3 linked regions of the Macaca fascicularis genome follow. The protein of the gene in region 2 purifies or fractionates together with the protein of the main gene of each other region. This does not show direct contact. Links are inferred from orthologs where the notes say so. Each region holds a gene or a part of one and is shown on either strand. Other genes may lie near its edges.

The links.
Region 1: the proteins of EZH1 (region 2) and JARID2 purify together in Homo sapiens (affinity purification with mass spectrometry; 4 studies listed by BioGRID and IntAct, with this or other methods). This does not show direct contact. The link is inferred for Macaca fascicularis from reciprocal best matches to the Homo sapiens genes EZH1 and JARID2.
Region 3: the proteins of EZH1 (region 2) and PHF19 purify together in Homo sapiens (affinity purification with mass spectrometry; 4 studies listed by BioGRID and IntAct, counting the BioPlex papers as one, with this or other methods). This does not show direct contact. The link is inferred for Macaca fascicularis from reciprocal best matches to the Homo sapiens genes EZH1 and PHF19.

Annotation. Positions count from the first base shown.
Region 1 is NC_088378.1:157,706,535-157,710,834, forward strand, and holds the start of JARID2 (protein Jumonji), read right to left. Parts: upstream 2,801-4,300; 5' UTR 2,698-2,800; intron 2,314-2,697; exon of another isoform or gene 2,285-2,313; coding exon of another isoform or gene 2,170-2,284; exon of another isoform or gene 1,913-2,169; 5' UTR 1,754-1,912; coding exon 1,709-1,753; intron 444-1,708; exon of another isoform or gene 236-443; intron 1-235. Other genes in the region: uncharacterized protein, read left to right, coding at 2,170-2,284, 2,801-3,615.
Region 2 is NC_088390.1:63,798,343-63,805,630, reverse strand, and holds the start of EZH1 (histone-lysine N-methyltransferase EZH1), read left to right. Parts: upstream 1-2,402; 5' UTR 2,403-2,433; intron 2,434-7,288.
Region 3 is NC_088389.1:37,054,057-37,058,353, reverse strand, and holds the start of PHF19 (PHD finger protein 19), read right to left. Parts: upstream 2,801-4,297; 5' UTR 2,768-2,800; intron 2,766-2,767; exon of another isoform or gene 272-2,765; 5' UTR 133-271; intron 1-132.

The DNA.
Region 1 (4,300 bases), on a different chromosome or scaffold from region 2:
AGGCCGCGCGCGCGCGCGCCCCCCCGCCCGCCCAGCCCCAGGCCCAGCCTGCCGCGACCCCCGCGCGCCGTCCCCTTCGCAGCCGGCTCGAGCACGTCGGGAACACCGGCTCTGCTCCCGAAGCATTAACTCGTGCCGTGCCTCCCGCGGCCGCCGCCAGCCACGGGCTTGCAGCCGGACGTCCGGACTCGGAGACACGATCCGCTGACTGCCCGCAATAAAAAAGAAAACCCACCCCACGCTGCTGTCCACCTCAACGAGGTCCGGAATGGGAGGCGGGGTGCGGTTCTCGTCCAAGTTCTACCCCATTTGCTTTGTGGCTGCATCCGAAACGGACGTGCCCCGGGAAGGCGTCTACGCTCCGAGGCAAGGTTGCCTCCGTGCAGTTTCTACAGCCTGAGTTTAAACTAGTCCTTTGCATTCTACCCAGCCCTCTGCAATGCGGATGTATTTTAATTCTTAAATTCTTTATGGAACAGCATTCTAAGTTGGGCTTGATTATTTAACCTTGCATTTCTTTCATAGTTGAAGTTGACGTGTCTAGATAAGGATCAGCTCTCTTGAAGAAGCATTCAGCTTTTCCATTAAATATATTTTTACAAAACCAGTGCCCCGAAGGTCATCTCTCATTACACACACCACAATGATCAAAAAGGGAAAATATTAACACCAATTTGTCTACCCAACTTAAATAAAACTTTCCTCTTACGTTGCATTATCCCTAAGGTATGTTCATTTGGCCTTTTTTGAAAAAAATGAGTTATTTAATTTAAAGCATGCCGCTGATCACAGATCACTCGAGTGCATATTTGGTTAATCGCTCGGTCCCCCCTTCCTCCCTCCCCTCAAACTTAAAAAAAAAAAAAAAGCCACCACACACAAAACAAAAACACTCCCCATGCCAATCAAAACGTAGCTGTACTATGCACAAAACAAATTTAACTATTCCAAGCCATTTAAATCTGTGAATAATCACCCAATTTCAGAAGCCCAGTTAACAGGGAGAAAATATTTGTAGTTACTTACATATACATTCACGTACACACTTAAAAACATTAGCCATAGTGTGTGTCCTTTTCCCCTACAACTGGAAATCATGAATTTTTTAAACAAAACCAGCCTCATTATTAAAGTCAATCCCAACAAATGCATTCGCTGTAACATGATTCCCAACTGGTTTATGTTGTAAACCAGATAAGCCAAAACGACCACAGACGTTAAATTTGATGTGCCAATGCAAAGAGAAGATCGCCATAATCGGACCCTCCATCGCAACTTAAAGGGCTTCCAACACACATGAGTTACACGATTTTTCCAAATAACATTAATAATAATAACACAGGCTCATTTGCATGCAAAGTGCAATACGGGGCCAAATCCGCTTGAGAATGCAGTTTAGTTACATTACCGCAGCCGCCCCCCCACCTCAAGCTCCACCAAAATCCCTTGCCTTTCATCTAAAACTAGATTATGGTTGTGTCATTCGAGGTCAATTTATTCACTTGAGGTATCTCTACACCAATCTGTTTTTTCAACCAAACTAGGCAGACACCACTTCGCTTGAAAAGCCCTCTTTCAGAAAAGAAAGAAACAGCCTTATCGGACGCTGTGTTTAAAACCCTTCAGCTGCAGAATTATCTATAAACTTGACATTCACAGCCATTGCTTAAAACTGCAAGTCAAAGGATGTGTTGTTAGGAGCACTTACGTATTTCTTCTGAATGATATTCCTCTTCGGTCTTTCCTTGCTCATTCTGAGATCCAAATGCTGATTGCAAAAGGGGACAATTGCTTCATGAATTTAAAGCCGTCAGAAATTTGCAAAAAAATATCCTGGTGGTTTTTATTGTTGTTGGTGGTGGTTGATCTTGTAATCCGACTTTTCTTCCTCTTCCCCCAAAGCCAGATTCGCCTTGAAATAAATCCGAAATTGGGAAGGAAAAAAAAAGAGCCAAAGACGAACGAAGCAAACAAAAAAAAATTCACTTTAGTAAAACACTCATAATGGAAAATTTCCCCCGAAACACATACACACACACACAAAAAAAAACCGACGCCCTTCACTCCCCCCCCTTTTTCCTCCAAAAACTACATCAGCGAAACGTGAAGGTCCTTAGTGTCTGATCCGTAGTTACATCTTGGAAAAGAAAAGGGAAAGATAAATAAAAAATGTTGGAAGTCACGTTTGTGCTGCAGCAGCAGTGCGAGCAGAAGAGTCAACTCCAGCGGCGGCGGCGGCGGCGGCGGCGGCGGCGGCGGCAGCACCACAGCGAGGGCTCGCCGAGTCTCTTTTTTCCAAGCCCCCTAACCAATGAGAGAGAGGCTATCCAGCCCAACTTTAAATGGACTCTGCTTTTATACAAGTTAGGGCTCCTCGGATAATTCCCCGCCGGGCGCCAGCCGAAAACTCCCACCGCTCAGCCGCCAGGCGCCCGCTTAGCCCGGTGCCGACCGCCCCTGGCCCAGTCCAGGGCACCCCCGCAGCCTGGCCAACCAGACACCCGAGCGACCTCGACGAACCCCTCCCAGGCAAGCCCTCGGGCGTCGCTCCCACGCCGAGCCCAGGCGTGGAATTGAGAGAGGCTCCCTAGCTCAATGCATGGCACGCTCCGTCGCTCCACCTCACCCCCTTTCCCCTGCCTGCCGCTCACCCCACGACCGCCCCACGCCAGCCCCCGCCACTGCCTTCGCGTCTACCTGCAGCCGGGCTGCTGGGTAGGAGTGCCCCAGGACGCCCGGCCCCGGGGAGAGCCGCCTATTCCCGGGGCACCTTAGAATGGTCCCCTTGATCTTCTGGAAGTTGTAGTCCCCCGACTACAAAATGGCTATGGCCACGGAAGCTGGGAACTACAATTCCCAGCCTGCCCCGCAAAGCCTGTCACTCAACTCCCCTCCCTCCTCCTCGCCCCCTCCCCCTCACCGGCCGTGCCAACAAACGCTTGGACGTGTCCCGCGTGCGACACTGCTAGAGGCTGGCTCGGGATTGGCCCGCGGAGCGTGTGGTCCGCGAGCGAGGAACTCCCCACGCCGGCCCCCCTCCGTCCCCTGGGCCCCGGCCCCCCTCCCCTGGCGGCCGCCGGCCCCCTCCCCGCGCGCCCCGCCCCCACCCGCGGCGCGAACCGCCTGTGGAATCGAGGAATCGCGCGCGTGCGGCCCGGAGCCGCGGGGGAGGGACGCGAGGCTTCCCCGGGGAAGGCCTCGGAGCGTGGCGGCGAGGGGGGCGGTGTCAGGGAGGGGTTGGAGCCCGTCCTAAGGAAAACTGGGCCACGCACCAAGAGGAATCCTCGGTGCGAACTAGTTGATCGGCGGCGCCTGCTGCTTGTGCCGTGCAGCCGGTGTCACCTCAGGACAGCGCCTCGCGTCTGTGTACAGAGCGTGCTGCGGGCGCCTAGGGTAGTCCGAGGTCACTCCTCTCCGCGCCCCGCAGCCGCGCACGCCCCCACGCGCGGGGTGGGCGGTGGCCAGGGGTCGCCGAGTGTAAGGGCCACGCCCCCCCACGCCCGAGCTCGGCACGCGGCCCCTCGGTCACGAACGCGTTTCCGCCCGACCCGCTTGGGGGACGTTGCTGATGGCCCAGGAGTGAAGCCCTGGCGGCTGCCTCCTGAGAAAAGATAGCCGTGTTTAAAGAAACTGAACGGGATCTTTGCTTTGCCGGGCGTATTTGGTGATAAAATACCACGAAATGTTGAGGCAAAAATGAGTGGAATATGGAGACCAAGCCGCACAGAAACGCAGCTGTAAGGAAGCATCTCGAACACCGAGTGCCAGTAATATCAACTGCCGGGGCCACACGAGAGCCTGCTTTTTACCTGCCTCGAGCCCCCTGACGTGCAGGTTTAATCGCTGAAACAAATGAAGTAGCAGGCCCTGGCGTAGCGCTTTGGGCCTTCGCCTTATTAACAACTTTGTCAAGTCTCGCATCGCCATTCTGCCTTGTTAATTTCCTTGTTTTTCGCTGCGGTTTTGGAGAAGCAATGTTTTCCATGATCTCTCAGGCTAGCCTCGGAATAAAACGTGGCAGAAGCGCTCCCTCGAGCACATACCCATATATTTTACTCTACCCATTCCCTAGAGTCTGCTTACTTCAAAAGTCTAGATACTCGAGTAACACAGCTGTTTACTTGCAGCAGTATTTGAAGAGATAACCTTGGTGTCTAGAAAGGTCTCAGAAACTGGAGGTAAGAGACCTGGATTCAAATCGCACCTTGGCCACTTCCCAAAAGGCAACTGAGAGCCACTCTGAGCTGGTCAGTTTCCTCATCTGCAGATTAGTGGTGATCAAACCTGTGGGGAGGCTTGT
Region 2 (7,288 bases):
TATTCATCTGTGTAAGGCAAGTCTTTTAACTCCTTTATGCCAGAATAACCTGATGTATAACCTGAAGTTGCTCTACATAATTCTTAGAGTTTTTATGAAGATTACTTGAAAAAATGAACATTACAAGCTTTTCTAATAAAACACTTTGAGACAAAATCAAAATCAAGATGGTATTATTTTGCATTTTAATTTTTAATTTTAAAAATTTATATTTTGAAATAATTTCAGATTTACTAGAGTTGCAAATATGGTAGAGTTCCTATATGTCCATCAAACTTCCTCAATTACAATGATTAAAACCAGGAATAAGATTGATAAAATACTATGAACTAAAATAGAGATTTTATTCTAATTTCATCAAATTATCTCACTGGTGTTCTTTTTCTGGACCAGGATTCAATCCAGGATCACACATTACATTTAGTTGTCATATCTCCTCAGTCTACCAATCTGAGATGGTTCCTCACCCCTTGTCTTTTTTTTTTTTTTTTTTTTTTTTTTTTTTTTTTTTTTTTTTTTGAGACGGAGTCTCCCTGTGTCTCCCAGGCTGGAGTGCAGTGGCGTGATCTCGGCTCACTGCAAGCTCCGCCTCCCGGGTTCACGCCATTCTCCTGCCTCAGCCTCCCAAGTAGCTGAGACTACAGGCGCCCGCCACCACGCCCGGCTAGTTTTTTTTTTTTTTTGTATTTTTAGTAGAGACGGGGTTTCACCATGTTAGCCAGGATAGTCTCGATCTCCTGACCTCGTGATCCACCCGCCTCGGCCTCCCAAAGTGCTGGGATTACAGGCTTGAGCCACCGCGCCCGGCCCACCCCTTGTCTTTCATGATCTTGACACTTGGAGATACTGGCCAGTTATTCTGTAGATTGTCTCTCATTTTGGATTTGTCTGATGTTTCCTCATAATTCAATTCAGTTTATGCAGGCTGGGCATGGTGGCTTATGCCTGTAATCCCAGCACTTTGGGAGGCCGAGGTGGGTGGATCACCTGAGTCAGGAGTTCGAGACCAGTCTGGACAACATGATGAAATCCCATCTCTACTAAAAATACAAAATTTGCCGGGTGTAGTGGTGCATGCCTGTAAATCCAGCTACTTGGGAGGCTAAGGCGGGAGAATCGCTTGAATCCAGGAGGCAGAGGTTGCAGTGAGCCGAGATTGCACCATTGCACTCCAGCCTAGGCAACAAGAGCGAAATTCCATCTCAAAACAAACAAACAAACAAAATACAAAAAAAATCAGTTTACGCGTATTTGTCAAGAATGCCACAGAAGTGATTTTGTGCGCTTCTCATCGCATCATGTTGAGAGGCACTTGGTAATACCTCTCAGCGGGGGGCAATGGCTCATGCCTGTAATCCCAGCACTTTGGGAAATCAAGGTGGGAGAACGGCTTGAACCCTGGAGTTCAAGATCAGCCTGGGCAACACAGCAAGACCCTGTCTCCTTAAAAAGAAGAGGGAGGCTGGGAGTGGTGGCTCATGCTGGCAATCTCAGCACTTTGGGATGCCAAGGCAGGCAGATCACCTGAGGTCAGGAGTTTGACAGCAGCCTGGCCAATACAGTGAAACCCCATCTCTACTAAAAATACAAAAATTAGCCAGGCGTGGTGGCACGAGCCTGTATTCCCGGCTACTCGGGAGGCTGAGGCGGGAGAATTGCTTGAGCCCAGGAGGCAGAGGTTGAAGTGAGCCTGAGGTGGGAGAATTGCTTGAGCCCCGGAGGCAGAGGTTGTAGTGAGCCGAGATCTCGCTACTGCACTCCAGCCTTCTGTCACGCCCCACCCCTACTCCCGCAAAAAAAAAAAAAGGAGAAGAAAACAATACCTCTCATGACTACTGATGTTAACTTTGATCACTTTGTTAAGGTGGTGTCTGCCAGATTCTTATCTGTAAATTTGCTATTTTTTACCTTTGTAACTAGTAGGTGTCTTGTGGGGATTTATTTTGATACAAGGCTACAATTTTGATTCCAAGTGACTAGAAGAACTATGGACAGAAATAGGGAGATTAGACATAAATAAAGGGCTTAGAGCCCATAGACCGGTGTCTGGGGAACTGGTAGGGGTGAAGCATCGGTATGAAGGTGCTCTGGGTTGGCTTCAAATGCTGAAGTGAGATGTGGCTTGCAACCAGCGCGTGAGGATGGCGCATCCGCTGAATAGGGTCTTCAGGAAAATATTAGTGGCTCTGCGAAGGTTTCCCCAGAGCCCTTGCCCTCCCCTGCCAGCGCCGCTTTGGAAGCCGTCGGGGCGGCTGCACCCGTCAGGACTCCTCAGTGCGGGTTTTTGGCGGCAAATGACCAACGTGCGACCGCGCGATACGGGTGGGTCAATGCGCACGCGCCGAAAGGAGGCGCGGGGCGGGACGCGGCGCAGGGGTGGGGCCGCAGCGCGCATGCGTCCTAGCGGCGGGTCCCTGCGGCTCGGGATGGAGGGTGAGTGAGTAAACAAGCCTGGGCCGAGCGGTGGGGCCGGGCCTCCTCCCCTCGCCGCCCTGGGCCTGAGGGAGGGAGAGGCGGAGGGATCAGGGAATTGGAAGGAATTCGAGGGACACACTGCCTCTCTGGCCGGGGGTAGCAGGCGCCCCTTCTCATTCCGAGGGCTAGGGGAATGGGGGCGACGGGGCGAGGGAGCCCCAGGCGAGGACAGCGTCTGGGACTACGAGGGCTGTGTGCCCGGGAGGAGGAGCGGCGGGGGCGGGCTCGGGGACGGGGAATCCCGTTGGACGGCGGGGTGGGACGATGGGCGGGAGCCCCAGCGCCCAAAGGGCGCGGGTGGGCGGTGGCACCTGCGGGGGCCTTTAGCGAGGTGGACTCTGGGGACCTGGAGCTGTGCTTGGGTGGGGGCTAGAGACCGGGGCTGATCTTGCGATGGCTTTCGGGGCTGTTGAGGAGGGGGTAGCAGTAAAAACAGGGCCGGGACTAGGGTGAGGTGAGTGAGTCAGGCTCCCAAGGCACAAAGTGTAAAGGAATACTGACTCAGGGTCGTGCAAATGCAGTGAGCGCCTCCTCACGTGCGTCCTGGGTGCCTCGGTCCCCTCGCCTGGGCCTGGCCCTGAGCAAGAATCTCCTTCACTCCAGACTTTTGGTCTCACGCCAATGATCGCTCACCCCCACCATTCTCCCGAGGATCAAATGATATAAATAAAAGTGCCTCGAAGCAAAGACAAGGTGTTGTATTTGGGACATGCCTGTTAGGAAATGTGGGACAAACTTTTATTTCAATAAAAAGTGACTACTGAGGAATTGTTTCTTGAGCAGGGAAGGGAAGGGATGCCTGAAGGATGTTAGTGCCCCCAGGGAATGTGAAGGAATATGGAGGGTGAAATGTAGGGTTGTAAATGGTGTAGCCCAGGCCGATAGGAACCTGACGCTTGGCAGGGGAGGATGTCAAAGAGCTCAGGCAGACTAGCAATTAGGGGTGTGCAAGGATGGCATTGAAAACGTGGGTCTCCTCCGCGTTTGCTGCCATGCTGCCGTTGAATAGAAAAATTCCCACACTCAGTGTTTTTTAAGTTTAGGAAGCTGATATTGAAGGAGGTTTCTAGCCTGAGAGGTGCTAACCCTATTAGAGGTTTCTGTGAAAGCTTGTCTATTTTAAGTCTCGGAATCCCCAGATATGCCATTGATAAAAGAGATTACTTACATAGGAGAGAGTGTGTGTTAGGAGATAAGTACTTTAGGCTGGGCTCGGTAGCTCACATCTGAAATCCCAGCGTTCGGGAGGCCCAGGCAGGAGAATAGCTTGAGCCCAGGAGTTTGGGATCAGCCCAGGCAACAATAGTGAGACCTCATCTCTACAAACAAACAAACAAACAAACAAACAAAAAAACTAGCCAGGTGTGGTGGGCTTCTTCTATAGTCCCAGCTCCCAGCTACTTGGGAGGCTGAAGCAGGAGTATTGCTTGAGACTGGGAGGTCAAGGTTACAGTGAGCTCTGATCCCGCCACTGCACTCCAGTCTGGGTGACAGCGCGTGAGACCCTGTCTCAAGGAAAAAAAAAAAAAATGGGCGCAGTGGCTCATGCCTGTAATCCCAGCACTTTGGGAGGTTGAGGTGGATGGATCATTTGAGCCCAGGAGTTTGAGACCAGCCTGGGCAACATGGTGAAACTCCATCTCTACTAAAAATACAAAAATTAACCAGGTGTGGTGGCACACGCCTGTAGTCCCAGCTACTCGGGAGGGCTGAGGCATTAGAATCGCTTGAACCTGGGAAGTGGCAGTGAGCCGAGATGGCGCCACTGCACACCAGCCTGGGTAACAGAGTGAGACTCTGTCTCAAAAAAACAAAAAAGAGGCCAGGCACAGTGGCTCAGGCCTGTAATCCCAGCGCTTTGGGAGGCCGAAGCAGGCGGATCAGTTGAGGTTAGGAGTTCGAGAGCAGCCTGGGCAACATGACGAAACTCCTTCTCTACAAAAAAATATAAGAATTAGCTGAGTGTGCTGGTGGGTGCCTGTAATCCCAGCTATTCAGGGGGCTGAGGCACAAGAATTGCTTGAACCCGGGAGGTGGAGGTTGCAGTGAGCCAACATTGCACCACTGCACTCCAGCATGGGTGACAGAGAAAGATTCTGTCTCAAAAAAAAAAAAAAAAGGGAGAGAGAAGTATTTAAAAATGCACATACATAATAGGAGAAAGGACCATTTATAAAACTGTAATAATGCTATCATTGTCAAGGTTTATGCTTAGTGTTGTGTATCACAAACATAATGAGTCAACTCCAAAGGCAGGGATGTATGTTTTATTCAATGATGTACCCCAAACACCTAAAACAGTAACACATAGTAGACACTACTATTAAGTATAATAGTAGGTGCTCAACATATATTTGTGGAATAAATTGTGGGGAAATTTCTGGCACTGGGAGTCAGGTGATCTGGATGCTAGTGTTGTCAGTAACTGGCAGAGTACTTGTATGTCAATCGTGGAACTTGATGCTAAGGCCCAGCTTAAAATTCCTTAAAGTGTAAATGACTTCTTCATTAGTGCCCTCTGAAACAGCACTAGAGGCCGGGCTTGATGGCTCACACCTATAATCCCAGCACTTTGGGAGGATGAGGCTGGTGGATCACCTGAGGTCGGGAGTTCAAAACCAGCCTGGCCAATATATGGTGAAACCCCATCTCTAAAATACAAAAAATTAGTCAGGCATGGTAGCGGACACCTATAATCCTAGCTCTTGGGAGACTGAGGTGGGAGAATCGCTTGAACTCGGGAGTGGGAGGTTGCAGTGAGATCACGCCACTGCACTCCAGCCTGGACACAAAAGAGTGAGACTCCGTCTCAGGGAAAAAAAAAAAAAAAGAGACAACACTAGAATGAGGCTGGAACTAAAAATGAAATTTTACTCCCAAGGAGACATTTGGGAGAAGGGAAAGATGAGAAAAATGTGGTCGGGCTTGTTACTTATATATTTGCCTTTGAATTATACCTTCAAACAACCGATTTCAGTCTAGACATGTGGCTCACGCCTGTAATCCCCGTACTTTGGGAGGCTAAGGTGGGCAGATCACTTGAGTTCAGGAGTTTGAGACCAGCTTGGGCAACATGACAAAACTCTGTCTCTACAAAAACATTACAAAAATTAGCTGGGCCTAGTGGTGTGGGCCTGTAGTCTCAGCTACTCAGGAGGCTGAGTAGGGAGGATTGGTTGAACCCGGGAGGCAGAGGTTGCAAGCCACTGCATTCCAGTCTGGGCAACAGAGCAAGACGCTGTCTCAAAATCAAAACAAAATAAGAAACCGATTCAGAATATTAATTTTGTCTATTTTTAATTCCTAGGATCTGAAACCTGGCTTCCTTACTCTATAGGCAACAGTTCCTTCCCTTTGATTTGCTCTTTATATGAAACATGTAACAATTCATGTCATTAAGTATGTCTTTTTCTGGTCTTGGACTAAGTTTAAAAAGTTTCACTTTGGGTCCCCCACACTGTGGCTCACGCCTATAATCCCATCTCTTTGGGAGGAGGCCGAGGGATTGATCACTTGAAGCCAGGAGTTTGGGACCAGCCTGTCCAACACAGTGAAACCCCATTTCTACAATTAGCTGGGCCTGGTGGCACACACCTGTCATCCCAGCTACTTGGGAGGCTGAGGAACGAGAATCCCTTGAACCTGGGAGGCGGAGGTTGCAGTGAGCGGAGATGGCGTCACTGTACTCTAGCCTGGGCGACAGAGGGAGACCCTGTCTCAAAAAAAAAGTTTCCACTTTGTTCACTAGTAGCATCCCAGAAAAGATTTGAGGTAGCAACACTAAAAACACACTAATTCCATTTCTACATAGAATAAAATAAAGAGAAAAGGGAGAACAATGTGTGGAGAAAAGTGAAGATAATTAGATAAGTTGGGATTGAGGGGAAGGGTTAAAAGTTAAAAAAAAGAAAAATTGTGCTTCTCCATTCTGGAAAGTCCCTCGCTTTTCGTTTGTTTGTTTTCTGTCCAAACTGTGTACATATTAGATTCTTTCCTACTCTTTAGTCTATCGGTCAGTCATCAGTTGGGACTTGAGTACACTACACCCTAAAGTCATGAGTTACTTAATGGGTAGTTGGAGTTCAGTATCTTTAGTGTGTTTTATTCTCTAACTCACCTACCCTACTAATTTGATTCAAAATAGATGAAAAAGTCTTATTTTTATTGGACGGTATGAGCAGTCACTAAATGCAGTACAGTATTAAACTTTGGGCTGACATAGTACAGAACCAGTCAAGATAGTGCTCTGACCTGTTAGGAGATTTCTTTTACTCTTCCAAGTCAGCGTTCTGGCTGGGCACAGTGGCTCACATCTGTAATCTCAACACTTTGGGAGGCTGAGGCAGGGGGATTGCTTCAAGTCAGGAGTTCAAGGCCTGCCCGGGAAACACCATAAGATCTTGTAGGCTGAGGCCAGGCGCAGTGGCTCACGCTTGTAATCCCAGCACTTTGGGAGGCCGAGGCAGGTGGATCACAAGGTCAGGAGATCGAGACCACGGTGAAACCCTGTCTCTACTAAAAATACAAAAATTAGCAGGGGCAGAGGTTGCAGAGAGCCGTTATTGCACCAATGCACTCCAGCCTGGTGACAGAGTGAGACTCTGTCTCAAAAACAAACAAAGAGAAATAGGCCGGGCACGGTGGCTCACGCCTGTAATCCCAGCACTTTGGGAGGCGGAGATGGGTGGATCATGAGGTCAGGAGATCGAGACCATCCTGGCTAACACGGTGAAACCCCGTCTCTACTAAAAATACAAAAAAATTAGCTGGGCGTGGTGGCGGGCGCCTGTAGTCCCAGCTACTCTGGAGGCTG
Region 3 (4,297 bases), on a different chromosome or scaffold from region 2:
GCTGAGAATCGCAGGCTGCCGCTGGCTTCCCCCACCTCCCTGGGCACATCGGAGGAGAAGGCCATAGCTGGCCCCTGGTCTGTGTTCCCTGGCACCTCTGAGCAGCCTGGAATTCTCAGTGGGGGTGCTCACCTTCCTGGTGGAAATCCCCAGGGTGTTGAAGGCAAGTCCAAAATTTCAAGTTCTAGGCACTTTTGCTCTGCTCTGTGTGGAGTGTCTGGATGATCTCAAAGAGAAGTCACTTCCTCACAGTGGGTTCTGATGACCCCATCTGTAAAAAAGAAGTCGCAACAGGTGGCTTCTAGGCTGTAAGATTCTGGGACCCTATCTTGCCTGGGACTGAGGCAACCAGAAGGAGCAGGAAAGCCCTGATGAAATCCAAGGCCTTAGGACCACAGACTCCTCAGGGCCCTCCCTGCACCACCCCACTCAGGAAGTCATAGGTGGCTACATGCTCCGGTCAGGTGCCACCACTTTGCTGCCTCAAGGAGAACAAAGCATTAAACAACTACAAGATCACGGCAGCTGGTCTCAGCAGCCAAGTGGGACGTAGATCCACGTTTGCAGGAGAAGTACACCTTGGAAACGATGGCTCCTGGCATGTGTACTGTGTGCTGGGCAACAGTTTCCCTCCAAATCCTTACAGCAACCTGCAAGGAATTCTTCTGCAGCTGTACATAGGGTCAGAGAAGCAAGATGCCTGGTCCAAAGGCACACAGCCTCTGGTGGTGGAGCAGGATTCACTCCAGGGCTGTGGGGCCCCAAGCTCTGTGCGTGTGATCTCTGATGGAGATCAGAGTACCCAGCTCTTGTCTCATCTATTAAATGGAGAAGATGATCCCTACATATCTTTCCATCGAGTTCAGCTGCTACAGAGGTTTTGCAAACTTTCACATTGGTTTCAGATCATGGGTTTTGAGGTCAGACAGAGCTGAGTTGAAATCCTGGGTCCACTGCTTACTAACTGCGGGCCCTGGGACAAAGTCCTTAACTTCTCTGAAACTCAGATTCTGCATCTGTAAAATGGGACAATAATACCTATTTCACCCAACTGTTGTGATGACTAAATGAGATCGTGGATCAAAGTGTGGTGTGTAGCCCAAGTGAAGTACTTGAAAGACTTTGACATTTGGCTCAGATGGTGACTACAGGCCTTCCAGCTCCTCAGAGAAAAGGATGAAAGTGGGACATTATGCTTACACTGTGTTTTCACATCTATCTACTGGAGCCTCACAGGTGGGCAGTGCAGGTCATCGGACCTGAGATACATTAAACTGCCCACCTGCCCTGGTGTAACACCGGGGCTGCCACAGGCTGGTGGCAAAGAGGGCACGGCATCTTACAGCCACAGTGTACATCAGGACCTTCACCCCTATAGCAAACGACCTCCAGGCCTGCATCAAGACCATGAGAAGACACTCCCTTTAACTGTGTACCCCATAGCTGCAAACTTTCCTACAGCCCTACCTGTTCCCTCCTTTCCCTGGGGTTTGAGATAAAACAAACACCCAAGACTTCTCTCCCCATCTGTGGGTCCCTTCTCTCCCCTCTGGCTTCAATACCACCCACTCTACCTGTTCATTCCCACGGACATCAAAATGTGCCCAAGCTGCTCTAATAAGAAAAGGGAAAAATAACTAGTACTACTTTTGGGTGCTGTGTTATGTAATTTTACAGACATCATCTCATCTAATTGTCACTCTATGAAGCAGGTATGGCCATCATCATCCCCACCTTAGAGATGAGAAAACCGAGGCACAGAGAGGCTAAGTGACTTGCTGAAGGTCTCACAGCTAGTGAGTGGGGACTCCTGAATCCAGAGCCAGTTCTCTAACCACGCATGCCTTTACAACACTCTATTCTCGTCTCCAATTTCTACATCTACCCTCTCCTCACTTAAGAACCCCTCTCCTAGGGGTTCTTAATTGTAGAACCCCTAGAAAAGATTGTCTATACAGGCACTTGGATCTCCAGGGAATCATCTCTCCAAGTGTATATGAATGTCGAGGACGCCAAATGCTCTGGGCCCGTCCCAGTCTCTATCCAACCAGCCCTTCTGCCAGCACCTGACCGGCTCTCAGCCCTTCCTTCCGGATTCCCTTCCTTTCCCCGGCTTCCCGCATCCTCTGGGGGGAATTCCCCCTGCGTCTCTGGTGGCTCCTTATTCGTCTCCTTGACCCCTTTCTCTTCCACACTGGGCCTCCATCGGCTCCATCCACGAGAAGTCTCTCTGCGCCGCGTGTCCCCATCTCCCACTCGTCCTTCGGGGCGCCCCTGCACTAGACCCCACTCCCATGGGAAGTCTTTGTGGGCCCCATGATGAGGCTGGGCGCCCCGCTCTGTGATTCCTCTCGCCTGCCGGCGCCAGCACAGCCCCCGCCGCCCGGCTCTGCAGGCCGGGTTGCCTGTCTGAGCCCCCAGCCCAGTCGGTGATCCCTCCCGAGGGCGGGGGAGCGTCGCGTCGCCACCTCAACATATCCAGTTGCGAGCGCAGCGCTGGGAGTCAGGCAGCGCCGGTGCCCGCGGAAGCAGGAATAAGCCGCCGGGCGGCCGGGGCGCCTGCCGCTGGGCTGGGGGCAGTGAGTCCAGGGGCCGGCTCTGCAGCCGAGGTTCCATGTCCCCGGCTGCGCCCGGGGAGTCCCCGCTTCAGCGAGGGGGAGCTGGAGCGGGGCGTCCAGGACGAGGAAGGGGGCCGGGGAGCCGCCCTGCTGTCCTGGGGCAGGGGTGCAGAGCAGCCAACCTCGTCGCCGCCTCCGCCACCACCTACCCGCGGCCCTGCCGGGAGCTTCCGGTGGAGTGTGGAGGACGCAGCCGCGCGGGCGGAAACCTGGAAGGCAGGGCCGGGGCGGGGGGCTGCTGCTCCGCGGCCCGCCGCGGGCGGGGCGAGCGATCCCCATGCGGGGAAACTGAGTCCGAGGGCTGGGTCTGCGGCGCCACGGGCACTGTGCGCCCAGTTAACTGACACGCGTGCACGCCGCTCCTCCGCGTGCGGGGCTCCTGGCACCTAGTGCAGCACCTGCGCGTATTTAGTGCTCAGTAAAATGCCCCCTGAAAAAACAAACACGAACCGGGAATTGGAGCCCCCACCCTGGTCCCCTGCCTGCCTGAGATCCGAGTAGTGAGGTGAAGAGCAGTAAAACCCAAGTCTTACCATTCTTGGATTTCTCCAGAAGATCCTAGCACAGTGCCAGGCTCTCCCAAGCTTATTGGGTTGAAGCAATCAAGTGATAGTACTTGATAGTACTTGATCAAAGTGATAGTACTAAGTGGTTCCAGGCCCTTTGCTTTCACAAACTGGGTATTTTAAGGAACCGTTTCTGTTTTCGTCTAAGCGCGCGCGCACACACACACACACACACACACACACACACACACAGAGTCGCTAAATCCTTAAGAATATATTAATCAAAATAGTTACGGAACTTAGTGTTGGGGTAGAATTTTAGATTAAAAGCTACACAACCTTTATTTTTGCGAACTACCAATTTGACAAAGGCTCCTTCTCTGTCAGATGTCTTAACCTTGTAGGACTGATGGTGGAGGGAGGGATGAGACTCTCCACCTTGTTGGTTTGGGTTTAACACCTCAAAAATCTCTTTATGTGTTAGGGTCCTTTTTTTTTTTGAGATGGAGTTTCACTCTTGTCACCGAGGCTGGAGTGCAATGGCCCAATCTCGGCTCACTGCAACCTCTGCTTCCTGGGTTCAAGCAATTCTCCTGTCTCAGCCTCTTGAGTAGCTGGGATTACAGGCGCCCGCCACCACGCCCAGCTAATTTTTGTATTTTTAGTACAGAGGAGGGTCTCACCATGTTGGCTAGGCTGGTCTCGAACTCCTGACTTCAGGTGATCCACCCACCTCCGCCTCCCAAAGTGCTAGGATTACAGGCGTGAGCCACCACACCTGGCCTAGGGTCCCTTTTTATGGCCCGACTCTCAACTAGATTGTAAGAGCAGGGAACGATCTTTTACGTGTTTGTTTTTTAACCCGGCATGCCTGTAAGTCTCTCACTTACTGGGGGCAGAGCTGCTGTCCTCCAACTTCCACTAGACAGGCGGAAGCTGTGGGACACAGGGTACTCTAGTCAAAGGGGGACCTCAGGGGTCCACCTGGGAGGGAAATGCTGCTTGTGGACAAGCAGAGGATCTCGGGGCCTCTAAGAGAGAATGTCTGCAAACTATGGGAGGTTGACCAGATGTGGCCTCTGTGGGGCCTTTCGATTCTGGGGGAAAAGGATTCAAAGAATTAAGTGTCTGAATTAAAAATTGATGGGCCGGGCGTGGTGGCTCACCCCTGTA